Linked DNA regions of Cricetulus griseus. The protein of the gene in region 1 purifies or fractionates together with the protein of each later gene. This does not show direct contact. Links are inferred from orthologs where the notes say so. Each region holds a gene or a part of one and is shown in the gene's direction. Other genes may lie near its edges.

The links.
Region 2: the proteins of Rab11a (region 1) and Evi5 purify together in Homo sapiens (co-immunoprecipitation; 3 studies listed by BioGRID and IntAct, with this or other methods). This does not show direct contact. The link is inferred for Cricetulus griseus from reciprocal best matches to the Homo sapiens genes RAB11A and EVI5.

Annotation. Positions count from the first base shown.
Region 1 is NC_048597.1:176,347,011-176,362,323, reverse strand, and holds the start of Rab11a (ras-related protein Rab-11A), read left to right. Parts: upstream 1-6,981; 5' UTR 6,982-7,102; coding exon 7,103-7,142; intron 7,143-15,313. UniProt on the Homo sapiens protein: The small GTPases Rab are key regulators of intracellular membrane trafficking, from the formation of transport vesicles to their fusion with membranes.
Region 2 is NC_048600.1:2,641,698-2,656,951, reverse strand, and holds the start of Evi5 (ecotropic viral integration site 5 protein homolog), read left to right. Parts: upstream 1-5,296; 5' UTR 5,297-5,431; intron 5,432-15,254. UniProt on the Homo sapiens protein: Functions as a regulator of cell cycle progression by stabilizing the FBXO5 protein and promoting cyclin-A accumulation during interphase. May play a role in cytokinesis.

The DNA of each region.
Region 1 (15,313 bases):
AAACAATGGAACAGAAAATATATCACAGAGGCCTAGAGAGACAGATCAGTGGCTAGGAGCACTTACTGCTCTTACAGAGGGTTGTCTATAGAGTTGCAGAGAATTGTGAGCAGCCATGTTGGTGCTGGGAACTGAACCCTGTTGACTCAATGGTTAAAAAACAACAAGTGCTCTTAACCATTGAATCATCTCTCCAGCCCCTAAAAATAAAATAAATCTAAGAGGAAAAACAAGGAAAATAGCTAGAATATATAAAAAAAATCCTTCACATCAATAAGAAAAGGTAATCCACTTTGAAAATGGACAAATGATAGCAACAGGCAAATTATAGAAAAACTCATAAATAGCCAAGAAATACAGAAGAAATGCTTATATTTGCTAGTTACCATAGAAGTGGCAATTTTTGAGCAAACTCTTAGATGGGTGCAGATGAAAAATGTTGCTAGACAGTTGGTGACTGGTTACTGGCATTCGTTTACAGCTCAATGATGGCATTATGTTTGCCTTAGTCCTCTTGGGGAAAGGGAGCTGCCGCATATGTAGAGACCATATCCTGTTTATAGCCAGAAGACAGGTCCAAGGGGCAACCCCACCTCTCTACCTCTCTTATCAACAAACACTTCCCAGGTGCCTTAGGTTTCAGCCTTCATGTCATTAAAATTGTTCCACATGGCCACTCTTTTTTTTTTTTTTTTTTTTTTTTTGGTTTTTCAAGACAGGGTTTCTCTGTAGCTTTGGAGGCTGTCCTGGAACTCACTCTGTAGATCAGGCTGGCCTCAAACTCACAGAGATCTACCTGCCTCTGCCTCCCTAGTGCTGGGATTAAAGGCTTGTGCCACCAACACCTGGCCTCCACTTGGCCACTCTTAACAGGATGGATGGGAAAATAAATAGTTGTTTTTTTCAGGCTTTGTAGGGAGATAGGAATGGGAAGAAATGGATTAGAAACAGATTTTATTGCTGAAGAAGAGCAACAGCTGCTAAAAGTTATTTTATTATAAATACTGCTAGATTAATCCAACCTATATTTTTGAAAATGCCTTGACTTCAAAATGTAAGTATAAGAAGATGTTACTTTGGAAAAAGAGGTTCTGCTTTTGTTCCCATAGAAGATGAAAAGCTGTGGATTGCTTCCAGAATAATGTGATTTGACCAAGCAAGACTCCCTAAAGCAGTGGCCCAGGTGATCCAACATCCAAAACAGCTGAAATGATACAGCCTCAGACTACAGCCAGGATTTGCCCAGGTTTCTGGGTTTTCTCAGGATTCCCTTGGGATTGGCAGCACCCCAAAACAGCAGGAAGCAGTTTGGAGAGAACTACACTCAAATTCCCAAATATTGTTCATGAATGTTTGTTTTAATTTAAATGGGGTTGGTTGGAAATGGTTAATGATCACAGTCAATTTCTTCCTAAAGAAAAAAGGGAATATGATATAGAAATGTATACTTTGCATTCTTATGACTTTGTTTTATTGATACAAATTTAAGGTCAATTTTGTTATATGTGTATTTCTACTCTTGTTTAGGTATCATGTTTCTATAGGTCTTTTAAAAATTGAATGTATAATTAAATACAGATTATATATAGTCACCTATAATAGTCAAAACTTATGTTAGTTAAGTTTTCTAGATATACAGAGATATATTTCAAATAGATAGGTATTATCAATACCTTTCAAAGACCTACAGAATATGGCATTTAAAATGTTTTTGGATTTTTCATTACAGTGAGACACAACTGCTCCTGACAACACTAATTATGTCAGAGAGGAAGATGAGCATCAAAGAAACTCCTTATGGAGTTTGCCTTCGACATGGCAAGACTAGCTTTGGGCAAGAAACTGCTCTTGCCTGGACTATTTGACTGTATGCTGTATAAAGTGAACATGCAGGACCCACAGGAAAGTGACTGCTGAACTTGACAAAACAAGATGGGACAGTCCTTCAGGGTTCCTGCTTCATGGAAAAATCTGCCAGACATTCTGCAGGGCACAGAGAAAAATGAATGACAAACTGCCAATGCAGGTGGACAGTTTCAAATATCCTGCTTCACTGAGAAGTCTGCCAGACACATTAGGCCTATAGGCAGAAGATGGATACCCCAATATCACAGAGAAACTTTGGGTGACTGTCCAGGCAGCAAGATGTTTCTGTCAATTCTAGAGTTTATAGATTATCCTTCTGAGGTCTTTGATGAAGTTGAAGACAGAAGATAGTTATGGTTATGGTTTTCCTTAGTTATAATAAAAGATGTTACATATAAAACTTTAGACTCACAAAGATAGGATAGATATTTTTTTCAAATTTTGCCAAATGTAAATGTTAAATTTTGCCAAATACTGTTAACTATAGTTCTTGCTTGATAAGTGTTTTGACATATATAATTTTACTATGTTAAAGTTAAAACCTTCCTTTTTACTTAGACAGAAAAGAGGAGATGATGGGGGATGTCATTCTGTATATATGCTTCTCTTACTGGCTGATGAATAAAACACTGATTGGTCAGTAGCCAGGCAGGAAGTATAGGTGGGGCTACCAGATGAAGAGAATTCTGGGGAGAGGACTTGGAGAGTGAGCTGCCAGGGAAATGCCATTAGCCACTGAAGGAATAACAGGTCCCAGAATTCTCAGGTAAGATAAGGCCATGTAGAAACACATAGATAATAGTTATGGGTTAATAACTAACCAATAAGATGCCTAAGCCATTGGCCAAACAATTTATAATTAATATAAGTCTCTGTGTGGGGCTAAACGGCTATGGGAGGAAGAAAGAAACTCAGTCTACAGTAGAGTGCTTGTCTAGTATGATCCCCAGTGCCACATAAAACGGTATGGTGAAGGATTGTGATCCCAGCAGTCTATTGGAGGACCAGGAGTTTAAGATCCTCTACTACATTGTGAGTTCAAGACTAGTTTGGGCTATGTGAGATCTTATATAAATAAGAAAATAAACATGATTTAATTGGATAAGTCTTCAGTATCTTTCTTGTCCTGTCTAAAAGTAAGTGAGTAGAAATGTTTGGACAAGCTGCTATACATCTTTGTTAAAGGAAAGCTATTCAGATAATTAGTTGAATCTGTCTGGATTTATACAGACTTTCAACAGGAGGAAAATAATATAAATAATTAGTTATCTCTGGGGTCTGGAGAGGAACTGAAATAGTGGAGGAAGATGTTAAAGCCTTATTCTATACTTCTGTATTATTTACTTTAAGAATAAAGTTCCACAGCCAGGGCTACACGGAGAGACCTTGTCTCAAACAAAAACAAAAACAAAGCACATACACACACACACACACACACACACACACCAGCAACAACAGCAAAAAAACCAAATAAAGTCCCAGAGATGGCTCAGTGTTGAAGAGCACATGCTGCTCTTTTAGAGGACCTAAGTTTGACTCTAATCTCTCCTCTGTCCAATGGTCTATTTTGCACTCCTCCAGAATATTTAAAAGGCTGCTAATGGGAGTTTTTTCTGTGGTCTGGTGAATCTGGGAACTGATATATATATATATATATATATATATATATATATATATATATATATATGCTTTTTAAATGCCCATGAGCTTAGAGAATCTCTAAGCTGGGAAGCAATGTGTAGTTCTCAATGTAGCTGATCATGCAAGTTTTTGTTGAGAAACACTATTGTCCTTCTCAGAATTCACATTGAGAAATAATGACATAAGGGGAAAATGTGCTTAGAACTTCTGGCAGCATCCACGGCCTTACTCAACACACCCTCACAGTCATGTTTCCCCCACTTCCCAAAAACTAGCTTCCTTCCTTGCTCTTTCCATCTTGAGTTTCCTATTTGTGGCCCTGTCAGTCTCCTCCAATAAGCAGCACCTATACCATCTGATAATAATCTTTAGTCACATATAGGCACCATAAAAACTTGTGGCTTTTTAAGAAATAATACACATCTCTCCCAGTTTGAATGACTGTCACTTGTACAATGCTGGGGTTTCATACAGCTTAGGCTGGATTTGAACTCTTGATCCTCTTGTCTCCATCTCCGAGGTGCTGGTATTACAGGTGTGCATCAGCATGCCTAACAACGTATCCCTTTGCACTGGCAGAGAAAGTACTGAAAATGTTGTTGTATTCATTTTGTATGCCTGCTGAAATTAATTGCCTTGAGCTTGATGATTTAAATCAGCTCAGCACTGGGCTAAAATCAAGGTGTAGAAAGGGTTATGTTTCTTCTTTGGGAAGAATCTCTTTGGGTTCCTCTCCCAGTTTCCAGAAACGTCTGGATTGTGAGGCTCCTGATTATTTCCCTCCATCTTCAAAGCCAGCAGGGATGGGTTGGAAATTCTTTCTCATTTCATCAATCTCTGTAATCTCTTCTGCACCCCTCCTTTCTCCCTCCTTTCCTCCTTCCCTCTCTCTCCCTCTGTTTCTCTTTCTCCCCCCACCCCTCTTCTTGACAGGGTCTGCTGTAGCCCAGATGATCTTGAACTCCTGATCCTATTATCTCCTCTCAAATGCTGAAATTATAGGCTTGTGACCCTACACATGACTCCTGAGGAAGACACAAAGGGAAAATTATGGTGACCTCAGGAGGCAGAAGAGCCTCCACTCTAGAGTCTGATTGAAGTCTTTCTCTCTAGTCAATAGTGAACAGTTCCAACACTATTAACATTTGCTGTGAAGGTTGTCAGTGTAGGAGATGATATTCTTATTATTATTGTAGAGAGAATGTAGAGTTATTAAGAGAAAGTAAGAAAGAATAATGCCTCCTTAAAAATTTTTTAAAACTACATTTTAATTTAAGGTGTGTGTATGTGGCAACTGTGTGATGGAAATAAGAGGACAACTTTTAGGAGTCAGTTCTCTCCTTCCAAGTAGGATGTAAGATTCTGGAATTGAACTCAGGTCTTCAGGCTAGGTGGCAAATGCTTTTACCTGCTAAGCTATCTTGTCATTGTCCCTTGCCATCTCACAACTTGCCCATAAAAGCACAAATGCACACACACATACCTCAAACCACCACCACCACTTTTGAGACATGATTTCCACATAAAGCCTAGACTGGCCTAGAACTTGCAATCCTCCTGCCTCCACCTCATGAGTGCTGGGTTTACAGGTATTGTGCTGCCATCCCCAGCAGTGGGGATGGTCTTGTTTTGCTTTGTTTTTCCTGTTTTGTAACCCTGCCTAGTCTGAACTCACTATGGAAACTAGGCTGGCCTTGAACTCACATTTACCTTTGCCTCCCATATGGGATTAAAAACATGTGCAATCACACCACTTGGACTAGTGATGACCTTTAAAACATTATAATTATATAGAGAATGTTTAAAAAGCAACAAACTGTTATAGACTAAGCATTTATGATCTTCAAGTATGGCCTAACTTCTCTCTCAGATATTTCCCCTGAATCTTACAACAAAACTAAACCTTTGTTTACAGTAAAGACATTTTAAATTCCCCTGCAACCTTCCTTGTGACCTAGAATTTTACCCTATCAGTTATGTTCCTATTCACCAAGTAGGAGCCACCCTATGATCTCAGATTCTTCAGCAACTCCTTGAAGATGATAGATTTGAAATCCTTGGTGGATATGGAGCCTGTAAAGACAAGGCAGGACTCTCTGAAAAGCTCATTCTCTTGGCTATGTCTTTCTTTCTGAGACCCTCACTGCCTCTTAACCATAGAATTTAGAATCTATATGAAAATCTCTTTTAATAAATTCCAATTCCATTTCATATTTTATCACGCTGAGATGAAGCAAAGTCAAGAGTCAGGTTTTCTCTGAATCCAGCTCCCTCTCCTCAGGTGGCTGGTGGCAACTTGGAGGAGCACCACATCCCTGTTGACAACCCCCTCTTTTCCACTTTGGGAAGACGCTAAGGACAACCCTGAGTCTACTCAGATTATCAAAGATAATATCCCTGCTTAAGGTCAGTTGATTAGCAACTTGAACTCCATCTGTAAGCTGAATTCTCTTTTCCCATGACCTAACATACATTTCCCAGGAATTATTGGGTGAATATTCCTCTGTGTGTTTAGAGGGTGGGGTGAGAGGGGGCAGAGGAACATAGCAGAGCCCAGCCTGGGCTACACAGTGATTTCAAAGCCATTCTGGGTTACAGAGGGGAGTGAGACTGCCTCAAACAACAATAAGAACAAAACAACTATGAGGAGACGTTATAGCAAATCACTTGAGTCTTAACATTGACATTCGCTAAAATGGAAGTTGCTGTCCTCTGTGTTAAATTTATTTAACCTGGCTTAGCTTGGAGGCCAGCAGATAAGACTCAAGGTCTTGATGGATCTTTATGAGGATGGTGGGTGACGTTCTCTTAATGACATTTGGAGATAGTGTAAGAGATTTCTGAAGAGAAGTGCTTATCCTTAACTGAAGCGTAAGGTAGAAAATTCCAGCAAAAGGAATCAAGAAACAAGCTTCCTTCAAGGCTAAAATGAAGTAAGAGTTTAATGTCCTGGTCTCCATGTAGCAGACACTACTGAACTGAAGAGATTCATTGGTGAATCTTTATAGGTAAATACTATATGTATTATATCCAAAAGCAGATACAATTATTCTGTCATTCAATGTGAATTAAGAATAAATATAATAACAAAAGACTAAAGAAACAGGTTCCACCGAGATTTGAACTCGGATCGCTGGATTCAGAGTCCAGAGTGCTAACCATTACACCATGGAACCAGCACAGAAGCAGCACTATCTTTGGGAGTCTAATGGTAACAAAACCCCGCCCCCACCCCCCCCTCGACCGGAAACAAACACTATGCCTCTCTTCCCTGCATGGTTAAGGAAAGAACAAGCCAAAGGCCCGTAGGACTGTATCTAGCTGGGCATTTTAAGACTGTTCCATGTAAGCCTTCCGAAGCCGGCCGAGAGTGCGGAGTCCACTCCCGTGCACACATCAGGGGCGGGGCGCCACTTCTCCGGAAGTCCTTCCTGTGAGGGACTGGGGCCTGACGGAAGTGACGCAGAGGCAGGGCGGGGCTCTTCACCGGGTCCGGCAGCTGAAGCTCGGCGCTCGGGTTACCCCTGCAGCGACGCCCCCTGGTCCCGCCGCTGTCGCCTCCGCCGCTCCCGCCCCTCAGCTCCTCGGCCGCGCCATGGGCACCCGTGACGACGAGTACGACTACCTCTTTAAAGGTGAGTGCTTGGGCCGCCGAGTGCCTGTTCGGGCCCGAGACACTCCCGGGGGACCCGCGCGAGGGCTAGAGCCCTGCCCTGGACGGAGCCCGCCTCAGCTTCCTCCCTGCTGCCCCGACGGGGGTCCCGCCGGCCGGCGCAGTTCCTGCGCCTCGGGGAGGGCTGCCGGGCCGCGTCGCCCCTCACTGTGTGTCTTCCCCGATGGCTGCGTTCCTCACGGTCTGGCAGTTTCTTCCCTGGGCATCTCGGGCCCCTCCTCTTGGATGCACGCTGCCGGCCTCACATCCCCCTCTGACAGGCCCCTGCCTAGGCTCAGCACCCATTTTGGGGCACCGACTCTACGGGGTTTTTGCTTGTTTATTTGTTTGTTTGTTGTCTTTTTTCCTTTTCATTTCCTTTCGTTTCCCCTCCCTCCGAGTGAGCCTTTCCTGGGCTTCGGCCAGATTCGCCCATCCCAGGGCCCCCACCCCCATCCCTGCAGACCTCGAGGTCAGTATCCGCGGACTGACCTCTCCCTCCCCGCAGATGGGCAACTCTGTGCCTTTCCTTTTCACCTAACGTTCAGAGCTGCGGTGCGACCTGGCTGGTGGGAGGGGAGACCAAGGGAGGGCAAGAGGGCCTGTCCATCACCCCTGGCGTGCGTGCACTTGTCGCAGTGTCCAGGCAGGCAGATGACTTCCCACCTCGCCTTTTTAACCCCCTTCCTTCTCGTGTCCCTGCTCAGCTACAACCAGACCCAGATAACTCCTTTACTTGGCTTTCGTGAAGGGGCTGCGGATGGGTGGTGGCTGTTATCCCTGCCAGACCTGAAGGCCCAGTTCCTGGACAGGAAAGGTTGTGCGCTGCACAAATACTAGCTAGCTTATCACTATGGACTGGTTGCTTCCTGCTGCAATACTGGGAGGATCCAACAGGAAGGGAAGAGCCCTGGTTGGTCACATACCTTTCCCCAACGGTGGGAGAGGGTTATAGTGGTGGCGTGCTCTTTTAGTGAAATTAAGAATTTATTGCAAGGTAGGGGAAAATGCGAAGCGGGTGGACAGACATGGGAGGATGGGGAGTAGATAGAGAATTGCTTATTGGTTGAGTCCGGAAAGAAGCCAAAGTGAAAGGATACAGTTCCCAGCGAAAAGAGAGTACAGTGAACGCTTTTTTTGTTGTTGTTCATGAATGCGCTCTCACTTTCGTAGTCTTGCTCTGCTCCTGATTTAGAAGGGCAGCCATCAGTAGTGTGCTGAACAAAGATCATTACCAGAGAGGAAGAAGCTTTGCTATTAAAGCTTTACTGTGGAGGGTGGAGTTTCAAGAGTGTGAAGCATGGTGTTTCTGGCTTTGCCATTGGGTGCTAAGAGTGACTGACGAAATGATGAAGCAGGATACACTTCTTTTGCGATACCATATACTTTTACAAGTCTTGGTGTATTAGCTGCTGGTACACCCTTATCATTATTTAGCCCCCGGGATAGTCTGTTTATATGGTAAGTTAGTAAGGTACCAAACTTTAAAAATACAAATAGGAAAACCTGGTGTGCTGTAGTTAGCCTTTAAAATTCCAGCATTCAGGAGGCAGAGGGAGGTTGATCGTGTGGGTTCCCAGCCAGAGTTACATAGTGAGACCCTGTCTCAAAAAATCAAAACCAAACCCAAAACAAATTGGAGACCTAGAATGCTGAAGGCATCTGAGATGATGTGAAATTACTTAAATCCCAGGAGCATTTGGGGTTGGTTTACTTAAGTACTTCGTAATGACAGTGAGTACCTAGTCTCTTTCGAAGTTATTTCTATTTGATTTGGAATGTGAAGGTTGGCTATAGAAAGCTGTTTATTTTTCCTAGGAGTGTTAATTTATCCTAGATTGTGGAGAAAACACTAGGGCTTTATATTTGCCTGTGACTTTGGAAAAGTTAACTTTTCAAAAGTAATTTTTTTATTTTTTGAAATTATAATTATTTCCCCCCTGCTCAACTTTTTTTAAGCCTCAGTTTCCTCAGTAAAGGAAATCCTGTGATACCTTTTTGAGGAATAAGTGAGATTGTAAAATTTAGCTCTTGTGAAGATTCAGTAAATGATATAAATGAAATTGTTACAATTCTTGTTAGTTCTTGAGCCATAAATCTTTTTAAATGTTTAAAAACGACATTTATTGATGTGTGTGATAATGTGCACATGGCACGTGAGGAGGTGAGAGAACACCTTTTGGGGAGTCGGTTACTTTCTTCCACTGTGTCAGTCTCAGGGGTGGAACTCAGGTCATCAGGCTTGATGGGAAGCACCGTTACCCACTGAGCCATCTCACTAAACAATCAATCTTTATGTTAAAGAACATGTAAGTTTTATAAAGAAGCACAGAAGAACTAAGAAACTTCTGAATTATTTTGTATCTCTGTGGGTTCTGGTTTTATTTTTTATTTTTTTGTCGTATAAGACTGGATGTTTAAAAAATTTGCCAGGCATTGGTGGCACATGCCTTTAATCCCAGCACTTGGGAGGCAGAGGCAGGTGGATCTCTGTGAGTTCAAGGCCAGCCTGGTCTCCAGAGCGACTGCCAGGATAGGCTCCAAAGCTACACCGAGAAACCCTGACTCGAAACCCACCCCCCCCAAAAAAAAAATCTGCTGAGAAGAGTTTCCACTTTTTAGAAACTGCTACAGGATATGAGTCACTTTATTTTTTATTTCAACACTGATTACTTAGCCAATTTTTTACTTATACAATTATTTTAAAATGATTTCATTCCAGAGAGATTTATTCTAAGATGAACCAAAGCATTTCTACTTTGGAGAAGGCTAACTTAGCACACTGCATAGTTAAGGAAATTGGAGTTTGTAACATTTAGCATGAAGGGGTATGTTTATCACATGGAGTGGAGTAGTGTGAGTGGGGATGTGATATGGACAGGTAAGGACAGTTCTAAATCATGTATTTGTTCTTGAAAATTAAATTTTATAAGTAAAATTTGCTTTGCAGTGAAACCTATGGAATTTGTTTTATTTCTTAAAAGCATGACTGTTTAAAAACATGTTAACCTTGTACATACACCAGTGTGGTTAAGATGCTGTGGGATAGACAGGTGGCTGGACACCAGGACAATGTGGCACTTTCTGGAAGCAGGTGGGAACATAGTCTACTCTCCTGGCTTTTTCTTTCCACGTGTTATGAATCATCAGCTGATCATCAGTAGAACCATCCCTGTCTTGAATCTTGGTAGCTTTTCTTTCACAACTTTTGGTTGAGCAATTCAGATTCTGATGAAGCTGGAAAACTTGTCTTAGACTTCAGCATTATTGACACATTTTATTTTAAAGGCTTGGTGAGGTTGGACTTTGAGTGTACTTGAAAGTAGAAATACTTCGAAGCTTTTGAAAACCAGTATGAAAATGGTTAGGGATTTCAGCTGGTAAGCTTTAAAGCCAGTATTCTGTATGTATGGTGAGGAGATAAACAGTAAATGAGCTTACTAGAGAAGTATAAAACTAAGTGTGGAGCATGGAGGCTCGTGCCTGTGATTCCAGCACTTGGGAGGCTGAGGTAGGTGGATAGCCATGCTTTTGAGGTCAGCCTGGGCTACAGAATGAGATCCTGTCTCAGAAAATAACAACAAAAACAATAGCAAAAATACTTAAATGTGGTTAGAGATAGAAATTTTAAATTTAATAATAGACAATGTATATGCTCTGCTTTTATAATATTTAGCAGTTTGATATTTGTGGTATATATAATATATAAAACATATATGTAAACAAATTAATATTAGATATTGGGTTGAGCTTCAGCAGATGAGGCTAAGTTCCAGGGAAGCATATTTAGGAATTATATTGATATTTGATATATAGATACTATTATTTGTCTTACAGTCATGTTGTTTAGTATGTACTCTATAGATGGCTAAAACTGTAGGATACTTAACTATATGTCCATTCAACCTAAGATATTAGTAATAGATATATAAAAATTACTAAAAATTTCTTTACATTTTTATTGCATTTATCTGTTTGTTTGTTTGTTTATTTATTTATTTATTTATGTGATTATATGTATGTTGGGCTTGTGTGCCACGGTGCGTGTGCGTGGAGGTCAGAAGTATGCTCTCTTTCTACCATCAGCCTTGGCATCAAGTGTCTTTATCTGCTGAGCCATCTTGCTGACCCAGAAATTGATTCCTTTAATTATTGGTTGTGAACATAAAGTTTCTTACATAAAAAAAAAAAAACAGAACAAAACAAGAGGCGTGGTGGGTAATAACTCAGTGATAAACCATGTGCTTAGCATGAGCCCTAGGTTTAGATCCCCAGCACCACTGGGGGAAAAATGTCAATGTTGTCATCTTAATGAGAAAAAGTATTTTAACTAGAATTTAATATTTAATTTTGAGTCCACAAAGAAAGGTCCATTAAGGGTTTTTGTTTGTTTGTTTGTTTGTTTGTTTTAATCGTAACCAATGAATTCTCTTTTGTTTGTAAGGTAATTCATACCATCCATCCATCCATCCATCCCAAATAGATCCACTCATTTTGATTTCTCATTTGGTTAGGAAATAAAAACATCTCTCCTTATCATATCACATTTCAACACACACACACACACACACACACACACACACACACACACACACACACACACACACACACACACACACACACAGTCTCTCTCTCTCTCTTACAAAACTGGAGTCTTCTGCCATTTCAAACGTCCTTTTCCTTTGGCAAGTTGCAAGTCTTGACTTTTGGAGATCTTGTCAGTAAGCTAGTTGGTATAACTTTTATAGTTTTAGAGCATTTGTAATGTTGAATTATTTACAAACTTACTACTTTTCAAATAATAAAGTTAATTGGTTACATGGCCGTGGATTCTTCAGTTGGTATGGTATAAAGATTTGATGTTGGTGAGATAGTAAATTTAGTCATTTGTTAAAAGTGGAGGTCAAGCTGGGCATTGGTGGCGCACACCTTTAATCCCAGCACTTGGGAGGCAGAAGCAGGTGGATCTCTGTGAGTTTGAGACCACCCTGGTCTACAAGAGCTAGTTCCAGGACAGCCTCCAAAGCCACAGAGAAACCCTGTCTTGGGGGGAAAAAAAGTGGAGGTCAAAACATGAACCAGGGGCTTCGAATATGACTCAGCAATTAAGAGCACTTGTTACTTTTACAGAGAACCTGGGTTCAATTCCCAACACTACATGGTGGCTCACAACCATTCATAATCCCAGTTCCAGGGGACATAACAGGCAATGCATGTCATGTACATACCTGTATGCAGGGAAACCATCCATATACATAAAGTAAGATAAATTTAAAAAAATTCAAGAATGGCTAATGTTTTAAAACAAAACAAAACATGAACTACTGCTGGAGTTTCTGTGGGAGCTGTACATTGTTCTTTGATGGTGTTTCCCTACCAAAAGGTGATGTTAGCTAGAGGCCTTGTTTGCATGTGTTCTTTGTCTTTAAATTGTGACGGACTGGTTGAAATGGGAGTGTCTATGAATTAATTAGATGTGTGCTAATCTTTGGTTTTTCCTTCTTCACTATATATAGCTCTAGTTAGTGTTAATGCTAGTGTGGGACCAGAAGTGATTCAAAGGAAATTTCCTCAGCAGGTTATTCTGCCTCCTTTTTTAAAAATACACATACTTATTTTATGTCTGTATGTATGAATGTATGTTTGTTTTGGTGGTGTATTGGCTTATGCCATTGTGTGTGTGTGTGTGTGTGTGTGTGTGTGTGTGTGTGTGTGTGTGTGTGTGTGTGTTGTGTGTGTAGAAGTCTAAGAAGGAGTTGATTCTCTCCTCTCTACCATGTGGGTTCATGGGATTGAATTTAGGTCTTTAGGCTTGTCAACAAGACCTGTTGAACCATCTCCTGGCCTAAGTTTCTATACTCTTGGAGTGACTGAAGGATTGCTATTCAGGAAAGGTGTAGGGAGTTTTGGCTGAAGCTCAGACTAGGTTCTTAGCTGGGGCCATTTTCCCAGCCCCCCCTCCCCCCAGGAGTTGTGCTCTGAACATTTAGCATCTTACACTAAGAAACAACAGTGAATGTATCTTATTAATAGGGAGGCTCTATTAAGAAGCTGGGATTCAACTTAACATCTACAGTGGTGGAGTTTGGAAACCAGCCTACTAACTAACCATTCTGTAAAATTGAAAGTGCATTGTTTTGTTTTCATGACCTTGACATTATTTTCCCTGATATCCAGTACAAGCATTTAATGTCTGTTTACTAGGATACCCTCTAATTGACAAAGATAGAAAGAACTTCTCTTTGCTGCACAGAGTCACTGCTGCTGGGATTTCTTGCTGAATCAGCTGATAGAGGAAGCCAGAAAGATATGCATTTGATAATGCATGGTTGTTATAAGGCCAGCTAGTGCTACTTCTGTGACAGAAAGATGTGCACAGTGGGCTCTCTTTGTCTGGAGTGCAGTCAGCCTTCTTTCCACATGTACCATCAAATCCCAGTCTTTTGAGTAAAGCATGGCTTTACCTTTCATGGCCTTAACCTTTCATGTTGATTTTCTAGTCTGATGTCTACATCAGTCAGCTAGTTTAGAAGCATTACTAGTCAAGAATAGAAATAAATATGGTGTTCACTACAATACCAACAAAATTTATTTATTTATTTATTTGTTCTTATTAGTTCAAAATCAACAAAAATTTTTATGCAGGAAAAAATATTGTCTAGCTCAGATTCTGTAAACCTATAAACGCATTTTGATTTTCGAGACAGGGTTTATCTGTGGCTTTGGGGCTGTCCTGGAACTAGCTCTGTAGATCAGATTGGTCTCGAACTCACAGAGATCCACCTGCCTCTGCCTCCCAAGTGCTGGGACTAAAGGAGTGTGCCACCACTGCCCGGCTTGATTTTTTTTTTTTTTTTTTAAGACAGGATTTTTCTGTGTAGCCTTGGCTGCCCTGTAACTTGCTCTGTAGACCAGGTTGGTCTTGAACTCAGAGATCTACCTGCCTCCTGAGTGCTAAGATCAAAGATGCGCACCCCTTCCCCACACACCCCATTTTGATCTTTAAACCCATTTTTTAACGAAACTTGTCTGAAGTTGGACATTATGACATACACCTATAATCTCAGCAAGAGGATTTTGAGTTCTAGGCCAACCTTGGTTCCAGAATGTGACCCCCCCTCTTTAATAATTTATTTATTTCTACTTTATACGCATTGGTGTTTTGCCTGAATGCATGTCTGTGAGGGTGTTGGATCCCTTGGATGCCCTGTAACAGGAGTTACAAATAGTAGTGAGCTGCCATGTGGGGGCTAGAATTGAACCCAGTTTCTCTGGAAGAACATTCAGTGCTGTTAACCGCTGAGCGGGGTGGGGTTGGGGGCTCCCTCTCTCCCTCCTTCCCTCTCCCTCCCTGTCCCCCCCCCCTTTCTCTTTTGGTTTTCCGAGACAGGGTTTCTCTGTATTGCTTTGGAGATTGTCCTGGAACTTGCTCTGGAGACGAGGGTGGCCTCGAACTCACAGAGATCCGCCTGCCTCTGCCTCCCAAATGCTGGGGGGATTAAAGGTGTGCACCACCAATGCCAGGCTCCTCTCTCTCTCTCTCTCTCTCTCTCTCTCTCTCTCTCTCTCTCTCTCTCTCTCTTTCTCTCTCTCTTCTTTCTTTCTTGACATGAAACTATATATAAACCAGACTGGCCTCAAATTAAGAGATTCCATCTGCCTCTGCCAAGACCCTCACTTAAACAATTCAACTTGTTTCTCAATTTCCTATTTCCCTTTTTTGTTTGTTTTGATACTGGGTCTTACTATGTAGCCCTGGCTGGCCTGCAACTCTATGTAGACCAGATTGGCCTCAAACTCAAAGATCTGCCTGCTTCTTCCTTCTGGATGCTGGGATTAAAGGAGTGAACCATGCCTAGCTCAGGAATTTATTTTATTTTATTGTTTTATTTGTGGGGTTGGTTTGGTATGTCTGTGAACTTCTTGTGTGCAATATCAGCAGAGGCCAGACGAGGGATTGGATCCTTGAACTGGAATTACAAACTGTTTTCTGGAGTTAGAGGGTTGTAAGCTACCATGTGGGTGTTAGAAATCAAACCTGGGTCTGTTGATGTCTTGCTCTGATCTCCCAGACAGGCTTTATTTTACAAGCAAGTTATCACCACACCTGGGTCCTCAGGAAGAACAGCCAGTGCTCTTAACCATTGAGTCATC
Region 2 (15,254 bases), on another chromosome or scaffold:
TGGTGAGCCTCTCAAACCTCCTCCTTCTGGGGGATGGGGTATTAGAGGGAGAGAGGCAGAGAAATACAGGCAAAGACACACAGAGACAGGGAGAGACAACACAGAGATATGCAGAGACAGACACAGAGAGAGACAGAGACACACAGAGACAGAGAGATAAGTTAATTTTTTTCTGAAGTTAAAGTCCAGGCTGAGAGTACCAAATTAGAGAAGCCTCAAGCCAGCGCCTCAAAATTGGCATCTCAGACTTGATCATTCTGACTCAGTCAAGGAAGAAAGGAGGGGAGAGAAAGGGAGGCAGGGAGGGAAGAGAAGAAAGCACATCTGTTAGGATGCCTACATCCCCAAAGGCTTTGCTTTGACTTTTCCCCATTCTCCACATTCCTAACTTCCCTTAAAGTTACTACTACCTATCAAGTGCAGGCTGGAGCTGAAAAGGGTGTTAAATGGGTGGAGCCCAGTACGAACATCGATGTAAACACTCCCTATGAGTCAGCTGTAAATTCAATTAAAATCTCCAGTCTCTGTTTTCCAGGCTCATCATGGTTACTACCAAAATGACTGCTGCTTTTAGAAACCCCGATAGGAGGCAGGTAAATGTCTAAAACCGGGGTTTGATTTTTTTTTTCTTTTTACTATGGTGCTTATAAAAAAGCAATCATTGCAGCAGGGAATTTCAGTTTTTACTGAATTAGGATTTGTGTACCTCGATTGATCTTTAAAGCACAGTAGCAGTTAGTGAATATGTCTTCAGTTTTATTTTAAGAATATTATCTCATGGTACTGTGGACATTCACATAGCAACCAGGAGTTATATTAAGTGGTGGGTTTAATTCCACACCTTCTAGAGAGATGTTTTAACAATTAGCTTTTGTTTTTCAATAGTTTCTTTCCCTGCTGTTATTGGCTGCTGCTATTGATCTTGTTTATAAACAGAGGCCTACTTTGTCTATGTAGGCTTCTAAGTTTTCACATGGAGATACAGATTAGCCAGGGAAAATGGTTACCATAACATTTACTCACAAATTCTAGTTGGTGGCAATGTTGACAGTTGTTTCTTTCCTTAGTGGCTCCTTGTGCTTAAGAATACAGGCCATCACTGAGCATTGGTGGTGCATGCCTTTAGTCCCAGCACTTACTCGGGAGACAAAGGCAGGCTGATCTCTGTGATTTCAAGGCCAGCCTGCTCTACAGAGTGAGTTCCAGGACAGCCAGGCTACATAGAGAAACCTGAGAGAGAGAGAGAGAGAGAGAGAGAGAGAGAGAGAGAGAGAGAGAGGTGTTTGCCTAAACTAATAAGGAAGAGGGTGATTGAAAATTTTCCCAACCATCAGCTTCAGGCTTCACATGGACCCACTCACATGCCCACACCCATGTGAACAGTCATAGACACAGGCATACAAACCACATAGACGGACAGATGCAGAGAGAGAGAGGCAGAGAGACTCTGGAGCCACAGGCTCAGTCTCCACCAATGTTATGTGTCTCCCTCCACACAAGGGTCAAGAGACGGCAGCAAGAGTGTGTGCTGTCAGCCTGTTCTTCCTAGGGTGATGCTTGTGTCTTACTGTCAGTGGATGTGATGAAGGTAAAGTGGTGAGGCTGAAGCCATTTTTAGAACCCCAGTAAGTGGAGAGGCTCCAGCTTTTTGCCATGAGTATCTTAGATTCCCATTGTGGTAAGTAGAGAGAGAGCCTAAGGAGGTGTGCTGTAACTGTTTCAGGTTTTTTTGTTTTTGTTTTTGTTTTTTGTTTTGTTTTGTTTTGTTTTGAGACAGGGTTTCTCTGTGGCTTTGGAGGCTGTCCTGGAACTAGCTCTGTAGACAAGGCTGGTCTCGAACTCACAGAGATCCACCTGGAGTGCTGGGATTAAAGGCGTGTACTACCACCGTCCAGCCTTCATTTTTTTCCCAAAGCAAACAGTTTTGACCGTTATCTGGGACTCTCAGTGGAGTTGTCTTCCTCTTCCTCCTGGAATAGTGCCACCAATGTAACTTCTGACAGACGGCAGGCAATGTTCTCTGACTCTGGGCTCCCGGCCACAGGTGCCGTTACTGCACTTGGAATGTGTGAGTGTGACTGAGAAGCTGAAACTGTTGAGATATAAGCGTGGATAGTGGCTCTCACGGCCCCCGAATTAGACAGTGTAATCCTAGAATAGACATGAGCGCCCTGCTTTTCTGAGGGTGCTCAGATGCCTCATGCTCAGGGTGACAGTGGTGGTGTTCACGGGTGGATTTGACCTGGCCGGTGAGTTCTGCCTCTGTACCTGGGGTGGCTTGACCTCTCTGAAGAATGCCTCCCTTGTTTTCTTTTGGTGATCGATGGGGCTCATGTGGCTGACTTGAACACCTTTGGCAGTCAGTGTTATGGTTTTCTGTGACTTAACCCTTGGCAGGTTAGAGGAGTTTCCTTCCTAGATAGTGACCTAAATCCATGCTAAGAGAACTTGGAATTGCTAACTGAATTGACTAAATAAACTGGCCTCTGAAGAAAGTGCTGCTGCTCACTGGCACACTTCCTCTGTCTCTTTCATGAGAGGGTCTAGACCAGAGTCTCAACTCTAGAGTGTAAGCAGCAGATAAACAGCAGAGTGGCATGAGCAGAGGCGGTGTCAGAGTAGAACTCACACAGTGGCATATCACTTATGAAAGTGCCTGAGCACCATGAGTGTTAGAATTAACAATTAAAGTGGGGCATTGAAGTGTAAGCTCTTTTAGGAAATAAACTGACACACTTGGGGCAAGTGAAAGAAAGGCATAAGCCAGGGATGATGCTGGAGGGCCAAGGTAACGGCCCTCCTCAGGAATAGTATTTTGAGATCAGTATTTCAAAATAATTACATCATAACATGCTGACCACAATAAGCTCTCCCTCTAGCTCTGCTATCATTGCTTTCACTACATTTAGTTTTGCCTTTTCTGAAATTTTGCATACTTGGAATTTATATACTATGTACCCTGTTGTCATTCATTTAAAAGTTGGTAATTCACATGCTTAAAAATGGGAAAAGTACTATTTTAAGCCTTTTGGGTATTAAAAAAAAAAGTCATCTTCCCATCTCTGGAGATGCTTCATTGTTAATTATCCCATCTTCTACTTTTGAAACAACCAGTGTTAATAGTTTCACGGTGTCCACAGTTACAGCTTTTTTTTTTTTTTTTTTTTTTGAGATAGGGTTTCTCTGTGTTTAGCCTTGGCTGTCCTGCAACTTGCTATGTAGACCAGACTGGCCTCAAACTCACAGAGATCTGCTTGCCTCTGCTTCCTGAGTGCTGGGATTAAATGTGTGCACCACCATAGCCTGGTATGTCCTTCAGTGGGAGGTTTGCATACTCTGTTTTACATATTACCCAAAGACTCTTATGACATCCCAGCTCAAAGAATTTAAAGTTCATTTTTTAATAATAATTAGCATTCCTTTTTAAGTTCTGACTCCAGATGTCAAAGTGTGACATTTACCTATGATGTCAGTACATTTAAGCCACATGTGGTTCAAGTTCTCAAACCTATGATTCTAGAATTCACCGAACAAATATGAAAATATGACTACAAATCAAGTAAAATTAACCCTCCTGGCCTTATGGAGCCAGATGTTTAGTAGTAGAATCAAACATCCCCAGAAGAGTCCTATAATTACAATTTCCTGGAAGGTGACAGGACTAACATAGGGGCAGTCAAAGGGCTCGCCTCAGACCTAGAGAACAAGGTCTAGGTAAGATGAGGGCAAGAAGAACTTCTCAGGCAACAGAAGTCTGAGGAAGCTGTCAGGAGGGAGAAATTGCTCAGAGTAAAGAGGTCAGTTATGGCTAGAGAAGGTGGGCAGAGCAGAGAGGAGAGATGCTTGGCACTGAAGGGCTTGGTTAGGAGGTTTTGTCTGAGGGAGTGGGACGCTATGCAGGGACAACGTCACACGACATAGTACTCTGAACAAGCATTCTTTCTGTGTTGTGAGGAGATTTAGAGGAGGGTAGGAGGGATATGGATAAATTAGGTCAGTGTCTTTAAAGAGTCTACCGGCAGGAGAGAGTAAGTTTGAGCAGGGTGGTTGGTGATGGGAGGACATAGGACTTAAGGAAACCAGTAGATAAAAGCAACAGGATCTACAAATAAATTAGAGAAGTAGATTATAAAAAATGTTTCATTTTGTTATGCAAGATGCATTAAGTTACAATGAAGTTGTTAAAATTGACTTTAATAACATAACAAAGTTATGCAAAAAATTGCCTCAGACCATTTTGAAATTTTCAAAGTTTTTAGCTGGGTGGAGGACATGGTTTTACTTCCCATTTCTTAGTTCCTAGTCTTGTTGAAAGATATTCTTTTCTAGAAGTGCTTATGATAGTGGAACCTTTTCTGGGTAGGTCTTACAAATACAAATTTAAGAAAACCAGGGTATCAGATTAGTAGACAATTTTGGAGTTTTTTTTTTTTTTTTTGGACTGCATGGTGATAGTTACTATAATTTCGATCACTTCTAAGTGTGTGACAAAGATTTACATTGCCTCTATTATTTTTTCTTGCCTGCTTTTCTTGAGACAGGACCCGAATGAATAGGCTATTTTGTCCTGAACTAAGTACTTTCCTTCTAAGAATTTCTTCGTTGGTGCTGGATAATTTGCTCACCTTCTGCCCTCTGTCGGACTCCGAATAAACCCCACGGTGTCCAAAGGATTGGTGAGGACCCGTTTAACCTCGTCAAGTGCCATCCTTCTGAGTAACGTTTCTGAGAGTTGAACTCGGGGCAGCCTTGGGAAGGCTGCGCGTCCAACCTGCGCGCCCCAGGCCTGGAAGCCCGCAGCCAGGCTCGGGGTGCTCGCCCGGGGTGGGGGTGGGGTGTCTCCAGGCAGGGGGTGTGTCTTCTGCTGCCCCGACGGGCACCGGGCGGGCGGTTCTGGCGACTGTGGATGTCAGCACTTTGCAGGGCCGAGGGCAGGGTGCTTGGGAAGAGGGGCGGAGGACAGACAGGGATCTCCCCGCCTCCGCTGCCTGCGGCCCAATCCCTTCCTTCGGTTTCTGCTTCTGCTTCGCCAACCGGCCGGGGCTCCAACCTGCTCGAACCCATTATGCCGTAGAGGCCTGGCCGGGGCTCTTTAAGGCCCTCGCCGCGCCTGCGCCCTGGGCTTTCCTGAAGCGGCCCGGCCGAAGCCGGGCGGAGCTGGCGGGCGCGCGGGCGCGGGGGCTGCGGTGCGGGCTTCGCTGGAGTCGCGGGCGGGCGAGCGTCCGGCTGAGGGTCGCGGGGCGGCGAGCGGCCCGAGGTCCCGAGCTCCGGAGCGGGAGGCGCGCGCCGGGGAGCGCGGCGGGGACGCGGCTCGCTCGGGCCGAGGCGCTGGGAGGCGGCGGCGGCGCGGCGGGCGGCGGCGCGCGGCGAAGCGGCCGCCGGCTGGATGGGAAGTTCATGTTGACGGCGACGTCCACCGCAGGTTTCCAAGGTGAGCGGCGCCGCGCCAGGCCGGGCTGCGGCGGGGATGGAGGGAAGGAGGGGTGGTGAGCGCGGCGCCGCCGCCCCGCCCTGGGCCGCTGCCGAACTTGCGGCGCGAGCCCGCCGGGGCCTGCGTTCCCCGCGCTCGCCTGGCCCGGGCGGCCTCGGTCGTCGGTGCGCCCGCGCTGCGGCCCGGGAGTCGCCTCCGTAACTTGGAAAGTTGGTGTCTGTTTTTGGCCTCCGGCTTGTGCGCGTGGCCGCGGCGGCTGCGGACAGGTGATGGATGGGCACGCCAGGTGAGTCGCGGTGAGCCGCGGGCGAGCCCCAGGTGAGCCGCGCCGCTTCCGGCACTCGGATCGCGGTGGTGGCGACGGCGGTGTCTGCGCTGGTTTCCCTGACCTGAGGTCATCCAGGGGGGCGTCCTTGGCGCAGGAGGGCTAAGCAGAACTTTTGGACCGGCGAACCGGTTGCCTCGCTTTCCTCCTATTTTGAAAAGCTGGAGGGGGTTTTAGGGAGCAGCAAGCGGTTTTCTCGGAGCTGCGGTGGAGAAGAATCTCCTTTTCTCCGCCGAGAGAGTGAGTTCCAGAGCTTCCCGAAGGAAGTCAGGAGAGAGGAACACGAGCTGTTGGTAGTTTTTACATCTTCGGCTTGGGGTTTTGTTTCCAAATTTTATTAGTTAAAAATTCCTTGGCGTTTCGGGAATTTGCATTCTGTGGGACAAATAGGAAAATGCTCGCCTTTCTCTGGGAAGTTTCTGTCAGGGAAATAGTAGAAAATGTATTCAAGTGTGTTGGCAGAAAAAGATCACAGTCCTAAGTTTGCAGGTGGCGAGGTTTAAGTGAAACAGCACACACCAAGAAGAAATAGACATTACAGATTGGGGTATATTCCTCGGAGGAGTGGAATTTTTTATTTTATTTATTTATTTGTGAATGTATTTGGTTTTGTTTCTGGATGAGAGTCTTGCTGTGTGGCCCAATTGTTGACAAATTCCTGCCTCCTACCTCCTTGCAGGGTATTGCCACTCTTTCTGGTAGATACTGTTTTGTTTTTAGGTTTCTGACTTTAGGTGCTATCGGGCCTTTTCCAAGGCGGTTGTACCCATTAGTACTCAGTAAAACTCCAGTTAGTCCAGTACTCAATGATGACGCTTATCTTTTTTTTTTTTTTTTTTTGAGACAGGTTTTCTCTGTGGCTTTGGAGGCTGTCCTGGAACTCATTCTGTAGACCAGGCTGGTCTCGAACTCACAGAGATCCACCTGCCTTTGCCTCCCGAGAGCTGGGATCAAAGGTGTGCACCACCAACGCCTGGCAGACACATCATTTTTTTAAAAAAAATTGTGCGACTTGCGTGGTGGTACAGTACTTTATCAGTGTGTAGCCTTATTTTACATTTTTTTGTGGTGATCGAGGTTAAAATTTTATTGGCCATTTTTGTATTTTGTGAAGTGCCTCTTTTATGTATTATGCTTTTATCTTTTTTTCATGATCTCTTTATTTTCCACTGTTTTGTGTGTTGCCGGGGACAGAACCTACTGTCCTTGCATGAGCAACTGTGTTAACTTTCCAAGGTTTCTTTTATCAGTGGTCTGAAAATATCTGCAGAATGTCAGAAATAAACAACTCAGGAGTCTTAAAGTTTCTTTTACTGAACTTACTTAGGTACTCTAGGCTGCCACTGTTCTGAGCTCTTGATACACATTAGCTCATTTAGTTTTTAAGTTTTAAATTACATGCCATTTTTGAGTAGCTGAACACTATCCAAGTGAGAAGCCAATTACTCCTTTGTCTGGGATATCTAGGCTGTACACAGACGTTAGTCAGTAACCCTTGGGGTCATCTGGTCAGCCACTTTGGCATTCCACCGCCTGTGTTCAAGTGTCTCTTATTTTACTTAGTAATGGCACCAAGTGCAAGAGTTACTTCACCCTTGAATGTGCTGAAAGTGGAGCTGCAAAATGCTTCTTTGAAAACGTGAATGAATGTTCTTGACTTAATAATAAAAACAGAGTAGTGATGTTGCTAAGATCTACTTAAGAACAATCTTCAATCTGTAAAACGAGAGAAAGGATGAAGGAGTCTTGATAGTTGTGCAGTCTTGCTTCTGCCTGCACGGCCACATTGTGATGAGTGGCGGTGAGCAGGTGCCGTGAGAATATCTGGATGTCCACCGGAGTCTTGGAATGTGTCTCCTGTGGGTGAGGGTAGCTGATATGTCTGTCTGGCTGCCGGTGTTATGAAAGCTGGGCAGAGGAAATGGGCAGAGGGTGGTTGCTGTTTGCTACAGACACCTGGCTTTCAGCCTTCAGCCTCACTCTACTTGAGTTTGGAGTCACTCCAGGTCAGTGTTTCCAGGAATAAATGATGAGAGAATGGGAATGGGAACCTAGAAAGTCTTACCTGTACCCTTACACAGACTCAATGTCTTAACCTCTTCAGCACTGTTCTTTAGTCTTTTGGGCTTTTGTGAATGGCCCGGATTAGTTGCTTCTTGACACATGTTCCCGTTTGTAAGCTTGTGGTTGGTTCAGCTTCTTCCCCCCTGTCAGTCGCTACTTCATCTATGCCTTGTTTTCGAGGATGCACTGTCTATATCAGAGGATTTTTTAAAAATTATTTTATTTTTTATGTATGTTACAGTTTTGCCTGCATGTGTATGCCTGTATAAGGGTGTCAGGAACTTGAGTTATAGATAGTTGTAAGATGCCATGTGGGTGCTGGGAATTGAACCCAGGACCTCTGGGAGAGCAGACAGTGCTCTTAACCTCTGAGCCATCTCTCCAGCCCCTATATCGGAGGATGTTAACGATGGTTTTTATTAAGCTTTCTTTTCTTTGTCTGGTTTGCTTCCTCCAGGTTAACTTTCAACTTGGTATTACAACTTGTTTAGTAGTGAGTTTCAAGACTGGCTGGCAGTTCCTTGTTTTTCTATTTGTAGTTAAGAGAGAGCAGGAGACAGCTAGTTGGAAAAACCCGAGTTTATAAACAGGGCTTCCTAATGTCCAGGTTTACCCTATCTAACCTTGGGCACTGGTTCTCAGCATTGGCTCTACATTAGAGTCTCATGGAGAGCTTTAAAAAAAAGTTCTTGTCATCTCTAGACTGAATACATCAGCATCTCTAGGAATAGGACCCATGCAGTAGTATTTCTAAAACTTGATGTTATGATAGTATTAATAGTATTAAGCCTGGTGTGTGGCACAGGCATTTAATCTTAGCATTTGGGAAGCAGAAGCAGGCAGGTCTGAGGTCCAGGACAGCTTGGTCTACAGAGAGAGTTCCAAGACAGCCAAGGCTACATAGAAAAACCTTGTCTCAAAAACAAAACAAAACAAAAACAACTCAAATAAATAATATAAAAATAAACTTACAGTATTAAGTACAGTTTGATTTCACCATGGCCCTGACACAGAATCAGAGCATGGTGGGAATTTATTTGTGCACCTTTATTCTGTGTACCTGTTCTCTGTGCAGTGGCAGGTGCTGCTTTGATTTCTAGTTCAGACATCTGGACTTTTTATTTTTTATTTTTATTTTTATTTATTTATTTATTTATTTATTTATTTTTGGTTTTTCGAGACAGGGTTTCTCTGTGGCTTTGAAGGCAGTCCTGGAACTAGTTCTTGTAGACCAGGCTGGTCTCGAACTCACAGAGATCCACTTGCCTCTGCCTCCCGAGTGCTGGGATTAAAGGCATGTGCCACCAACACCCGGCTTTATTTTTATTGCTTTGCTTTGTTTTTCCTGACAGTTTCTCAGTAATAGCCCTGACTGTCCTGGAACTTGATCTGTAGACCAGGCTGGCTTTGACCTCACAGAGATCTGCCTGCCTCTTGCCTCCTGACTCCCAAGTGCTGGAATTAAAGGGTACACCCAGCATCATCTGCACTTTTTAATTAAATTATTATTAGAGTTTGTATATATGTACATAGGCATGCATGCCATGGTGTGTGTGCATGCGTTCATGTGGTGTTGTGTTGTGGACTACTACTTTTGCATGGGTTCTGGGGCTTGAACTCAGGCTGCCAGGCTTGCATGGGACATGTTTACCATTGAGCCTGCATCAGTGGTTTTTTTTTTTGTTTGTTTGTTTGTTTGTTTGTTTTTCAAGACAGGGTTTCTCTGTGTAGCCCCGACTGTCCCGAAACTAGTTATGTAGACCAGGTTGGTCTCCCAACTCACAGAGATCTGCTTACCTCTGCCTCCCGAGTGCTGGGACTAAAGGCATGCTTGACCACTCCCTGGCTTGACTCTATCCTAGTCTTTTGAGACAGACTTACTGAATCTGGAGCTGGCCAGTCTGCTAGGCTGGTCAGCAAACCCCAAAGGCTCCTCCTGTCTCCTCTCCAGTGCCAGGATTATAGGATTATAGGTCTGTGCTGCTTTGTGCCTGCTTTTTACATGGGAGATGAGGATTTGAAATCAGCTCCCCATGAGGTGTCTCACCAACCCCAGCAAAACTAAAACATCCGAGTGTCAGTAGTGTTTTCATGAAGAAGCAAAGTAGGTTGTGTGTTCAGTGTGCATTTTAACTTTAACTCAAATAGATTGTCATCTCATGTGCTTCACACATTTTTATCATTTTATGTTTCTTTAAACAGTTTTACCAAGCTAGGGTGCTAGGAGGGGGGTGACCTACATTTTTGATCAATGGTCTGGTCTCTCAGATTCTTTGTCTTGTTTTGTTTGAGACAGACTCATGTAGCCCAGGCTGACCTTAAACTCCTGATCCTCTTGTCTTCATCTTTTGCTACTGAGATTACAGGCTTTTGTCACCAAGACTTCTCATGTTCTTTTTAGAAGTGCTCATTGCTCCAGAATCTTACATTGTCAGCAATGGAAATTATTTTAAAGATAAGTCAGCCTAATACACTATTTTGTGCTTTCTCTTTAGCACTTGTTCATCCTAAATGTGGAAAAATCAGGTAAGAGAATGAGAAATGTTGGATACCTGGAAGCCAGTAAATATTTGTATGTATAAATCATTGAATAAGTAATAGATTTTGTATATTTGTAATATATAATATTAAAACTGTTATAATATTATTGAAAAATTAGGATGGTTTTGACATTTCAGCTAATTATACTTAAAGGAAAGGACTGTGATAGGGTGAGGTAGTTCTTAAAATGTTTTATCTAGAAAATGACCCTCCCCCAGTTGTAGGGGAGGGGCATTGGGCCTTGCCCATGCTAATGTTCTATTACAGAGTTGTACCTCCAGACTTGCTTTTAAATTTCACACCAGGAAAGTAGGAAACTGTTGTTAAAGTTAAGACAGGTCTTTGTTGTTTATTCATAGTTATAGGTGAGCTGACACCACCCATTAGAGAGCTTCTGTGTTAAGTTTCTAATAGTCTGGCTGTTGTTTGCCCCGTCCTTATTTCCCCTCCCGTCCTGTTTCTTTTCATGCTTTGAGGGGTATTTCCTCCTAAGATAGAATTATTTTTATCTTTTTTTTTTTTTTTTTTTTTTTTTTTGAGACAGGGTTTCCCTGTGACTTTGGAGGCTGTCCTGGAACTAGCTCTTGTAGACCAGGCTGGTCTCCAACTCACAGAGATCCGCCTGCCTCTGCCTCCCGAGTGCTGGGATTAAAGGCGTGCGCCCACCAAGGCCCGGCTTATTTTTATCTTTTTAAAAATAATTATCTGGATTAGACATATATTTTTGTTCTTTTTGTTTCTAAGGTCATTTATTTATTTATTTATTTATTTAGTGTTCTGCCTGAAGGACAGAAGAGGGCACCAGATCTCATTGTAGATGCTTGTGAGCCACCATGTGGTTGCTGGGAATTGAACACGTGTCCTCTGGAAGAGCTGCCAGTGCTCTTAACCACTGAAGCCATCTCTTCAGCCCCCACGGTTTAATTTTTGAGGTGGGCTTTCTCATGTAGTTCTGGCTGGCCTCAGATTTGGTATGTAGCCAAAACTGACTTTGGTTTCCTGTTTTTCTTGCCTCTACCTCCCAAGTGGTAGGAGAGGATTATGCGTGTGCATCTTTGTGTCCAGTTCTCTCTCTGAGATAGGGTCTCTCTGTGTAGTCTTGACTCTCCTGTATCGGCCAAACTGGTCTGGAATGCAGAGATCTTCCTTCCTCCCAAGTACACCAGGACACCTGGACAGCTTTTACTTTAAAACACATCAGATGGGTCAATGAGATGGCTCAGCAGGTGCCTGCTGTCTTGATCCTAGGAACCTACATGGGAGAAGGAGAAAACTGACTTTTGCTGGCTGTCTTCTGACTTCCATGTGCTTGCCATGATAGGCATGTGCACTGTGTGTATCTACACACACTAAAACAATCCACCCAATATTTATTTATTTATTTAGGTTTGTGACAGGGTCTCACTGTGGAGTCTGGACTGGCCTAGCCTGGAACATGCTGTGTAGATCAGGCTGGCCTTGAATTCAGAGATCTTGCCTGTTTCTGTGCTAGGATTAGTGTGCATCACCATGCCTAACCATGTGACAGATTTTTTTTTAATGGTCAGAGTTTTCACTCTGTAGTTCCTGATAAAGTGGAAATAGTATGTATAATGTTTCTTTTAGGTTAATCTTATATATTTATTTATTATTTAGTTTGTTTTTTGTTTTTTGTTTTTTGTTTGTTTTTTTTGAGAGAGGGCTTCTCTGTGTAATAGCCCTGGTTGTTCTGGAACTCGATCTGTAGACCAGGCTGGCCTTGACCTCACAGAGATCCTCCTGCCTCTGCCTCCCGAGTGCTGGGATTAAAGGTGTGCGCCACTACTGCCCGGGAAGCTTATTTAAAGTATATACCTTTTGTGTGTGTGTAGTGTGTGGGTGTGTGTATATATGTTTGCCCTCTTGATCACTTTCCACCTTATTCATTGAGGCAGAGTCTCAACTAAACAGAGATGACTGATGAAGGCTAGTCTAGCTTGGGGGAACCTCTGCTTCCTTAAAGAGAACTGAAATTTCAGACAGACCTCCGTGCCCACCTGGCATTTACTTGGGTGCTGGAGGACCAGATTGTAGTCCTCACATTTGTGTCATGCATTTTACCCACTAAGCTTCTCCCCAGCCCAGGGTATACCTTTTAAATAATGTCTTGCCATTTTCTATATTCAAATAACCTTATGAAATTTGTGGTGCTAAGTAGATTTTTTGGGTAGTATTTAGCTACAGAACCTGTGAGCCCTATGCTGCTCTTGACAATAATTTTTAACAAGCTTTAACAATACAAAAAGTGCTTACCACCGCACAAGATCTTTACTGTTTTGCTACATTACAATTGTTTTTCTTTTATGTTTATATATAAGGTTCAGGATGTCAGTCAGGAATGACCTTGGCAATTACTGGTTATCATGGTGGTCTGATAGTCTTTCCTCATTAGAACAAGTCAGGAATTTTGTGTTTTGCAGGTAGAATGTGATGATTTATGGTCTCTTCGGTTTTCTTAGAAAGGACTGTCTGGTCTCTAGTTACTGCATCTTGACTGCTCTGTTTACTTTGAATTTCCAGCTGTCTATTGTAATTGTACTTGATCTATCCCTGCTTAGCAGTCTATACAGCCTTTTTTTTTTTTGGTTGGTTGCTTGGCACATAGCAGCCAAGCCTTCTGTCATCGAAGTTCATTTACCCTTTTAAGTGACCGAAGACAATGTGGGTTCAGTACTTGTTCACTGTTCTTTGTGCTCATCCAACACTCAACTGTGTTCTGAAAAATATTCCTAAAAGCTGGTTAAACTGGCCCCAATCTGGGCTTTCTTTGTCAGTTTTGCTCTTTATTGTCTTGCAAGCTCATTGTTAGGATTTCTGAAGGACTTGCTAGTTCTCTGTGTTCTCGACTGGTGATGAGAATGAGGGTTGAACTAACTTGCTTGTTTCTTTTTTCTTTTTTTTTTTTTTTTTTGGTTTTTCAAGACAGGGTTTCTCTGTGACTTTGGAGGCTGTCCTGGAACTAGCTCTTGTAGACCAGGCTGGTCTTGAACTCAGAGATCCGCCTGCCTCTGCCTCCCTAGTGCTGGGATTAAAGGCGTGCGCCACCAACGCCCAGCTCTAACTTGCTTGATTTAGTGGCTTTCTGGATTTTATTCTTTGTAAAGGACTATTTCATTTGCTTTAGTTTGACTTTCTTTTCTTGTTGATTCTTGATATTCTGAGGCAATCCATTATAATTCAACATTCAAGTCATTTTCTAGGTACCACTCTTGCTTAAATTAAATCTTTAGTTTTTAAAGAAATACCTTACAGGAAGGATGCTTGCCAATTTTTTTCTTTTGTGGTTCCACATCTCACATTTGTGTGTGTGTGTGTGTGTGTGTGTGTGTGTGTGTGTGTCTGTCTGTCTGTCTGTCTGTCTGTCTGTCTGTCTGTGTCAGTGGGAACATGGAAAAAGGCACTTGCTGTGGAACCCGGACCACTTGAATTTGATCCTGGAACTCAAAAAATAGGTGAAAAAGTAGAAGGTGTCTCCACAAAGTTGTTATCTGATGTGTACACACACACACACACACACACACACACACACACACACACACACACACATGTTGCTGGATTTTTCTTGTCCCGACAGGTCCTGCTGCTTTAGCTCCAAACGCTATATTAATTATAAAACTGTTGGATGATGGCTAGGGCTTCTTACTGGCTAACTCTCTCTTAATTATTAACCCATTCTATTAATCTAAATATTTCTTTTTCTTTTTTCTTTTTTCTTTTTTTTTTGTGACAGGGTTTCTCTGTGGCTTTGGAGGCTGTCCTGGAACTCGCTCTTGTAGACCAGGCTGGTCTCGAACTCACAGAGATCCGTCTACTTCTTCCTCCCGAGTGCTGGGACTAAAGGAGTTTGCCACCACCACCTGGTCTAATCTAAGTATTTCTACATGGCCTTACCAGAGAAAGGTTTGAACCTGTTACTCCTTCCTCTGCTACCTGGAGTCTCTTTCAAGGCTCCTCTCTCCCAGCCTTCTCCTTCTCTCCTAGCCCCGCCTACCTTCCTGCCTCTATTGGCTATTGGCTAAAAAGTGTTTTATTCATCAGCCAATAATAGAAACATACACAGAAGAACATCCCCTACACACACAGTAACACACACACACAGACAGACAGACAGACAGACAGACAGACAGACACACACACACACACACACACAATGGCTTTTGTGCTTTCCCTCCCATCGTGTGTGTGTGTGTGTGTGTGTGTGTGTGTGTGTGTGTGTGTGTGTGTGTGTGTGTACACAATTATAAAAATGGGGATGAGGAATCTGAGGATATTAGTGTGGCTCTGACTTGACTATTCAGCACTAAATCAACACAAAGCATGAGTCTTAGGGTTTTTTTGCTGTGAAGAGAAACCATGACCACAGCAACTCTTATAATTGGAGCTGGCTTACAGTTCAGAGTTTAGTTCATTGTTTTCATGATGGTGGAAACATGGTGGCGTGAAGGCAGGCATGGTACTGGTGAAGGAGCTGAGAATTCTACATCTGGATTGGCAGGCAGCAGGAAGAGAGAGAAACACTAAGCCTGGCTGGAGCTTCTGAAACCTCAAAGCCCACCCCCAGTGACACACTTCCTCCAACAAGGCAATGCCACTATCATGGACAGATTGGATATAGCCAGCACTTTCTGTGTCTACATGAATCTGGAACAAAATATCAGTGAAGACTACCCAATGAAAAGATTGCCCACTAAGAAGACTCCCGTACAGATTTTGAAAGCTGTCAATCCAGCATGGTCTTGGCCTTGGTTTTTCTCTTCCTCTTGTGTGAATGCCACTTAATTTCCATCAACTTCCAGCCCACCACCTTGAGACAATACTGGGCTCAATAAAATTGCAGAGTTCCAATGGAGAGGTACTTGAGTTGGTGTATATGGT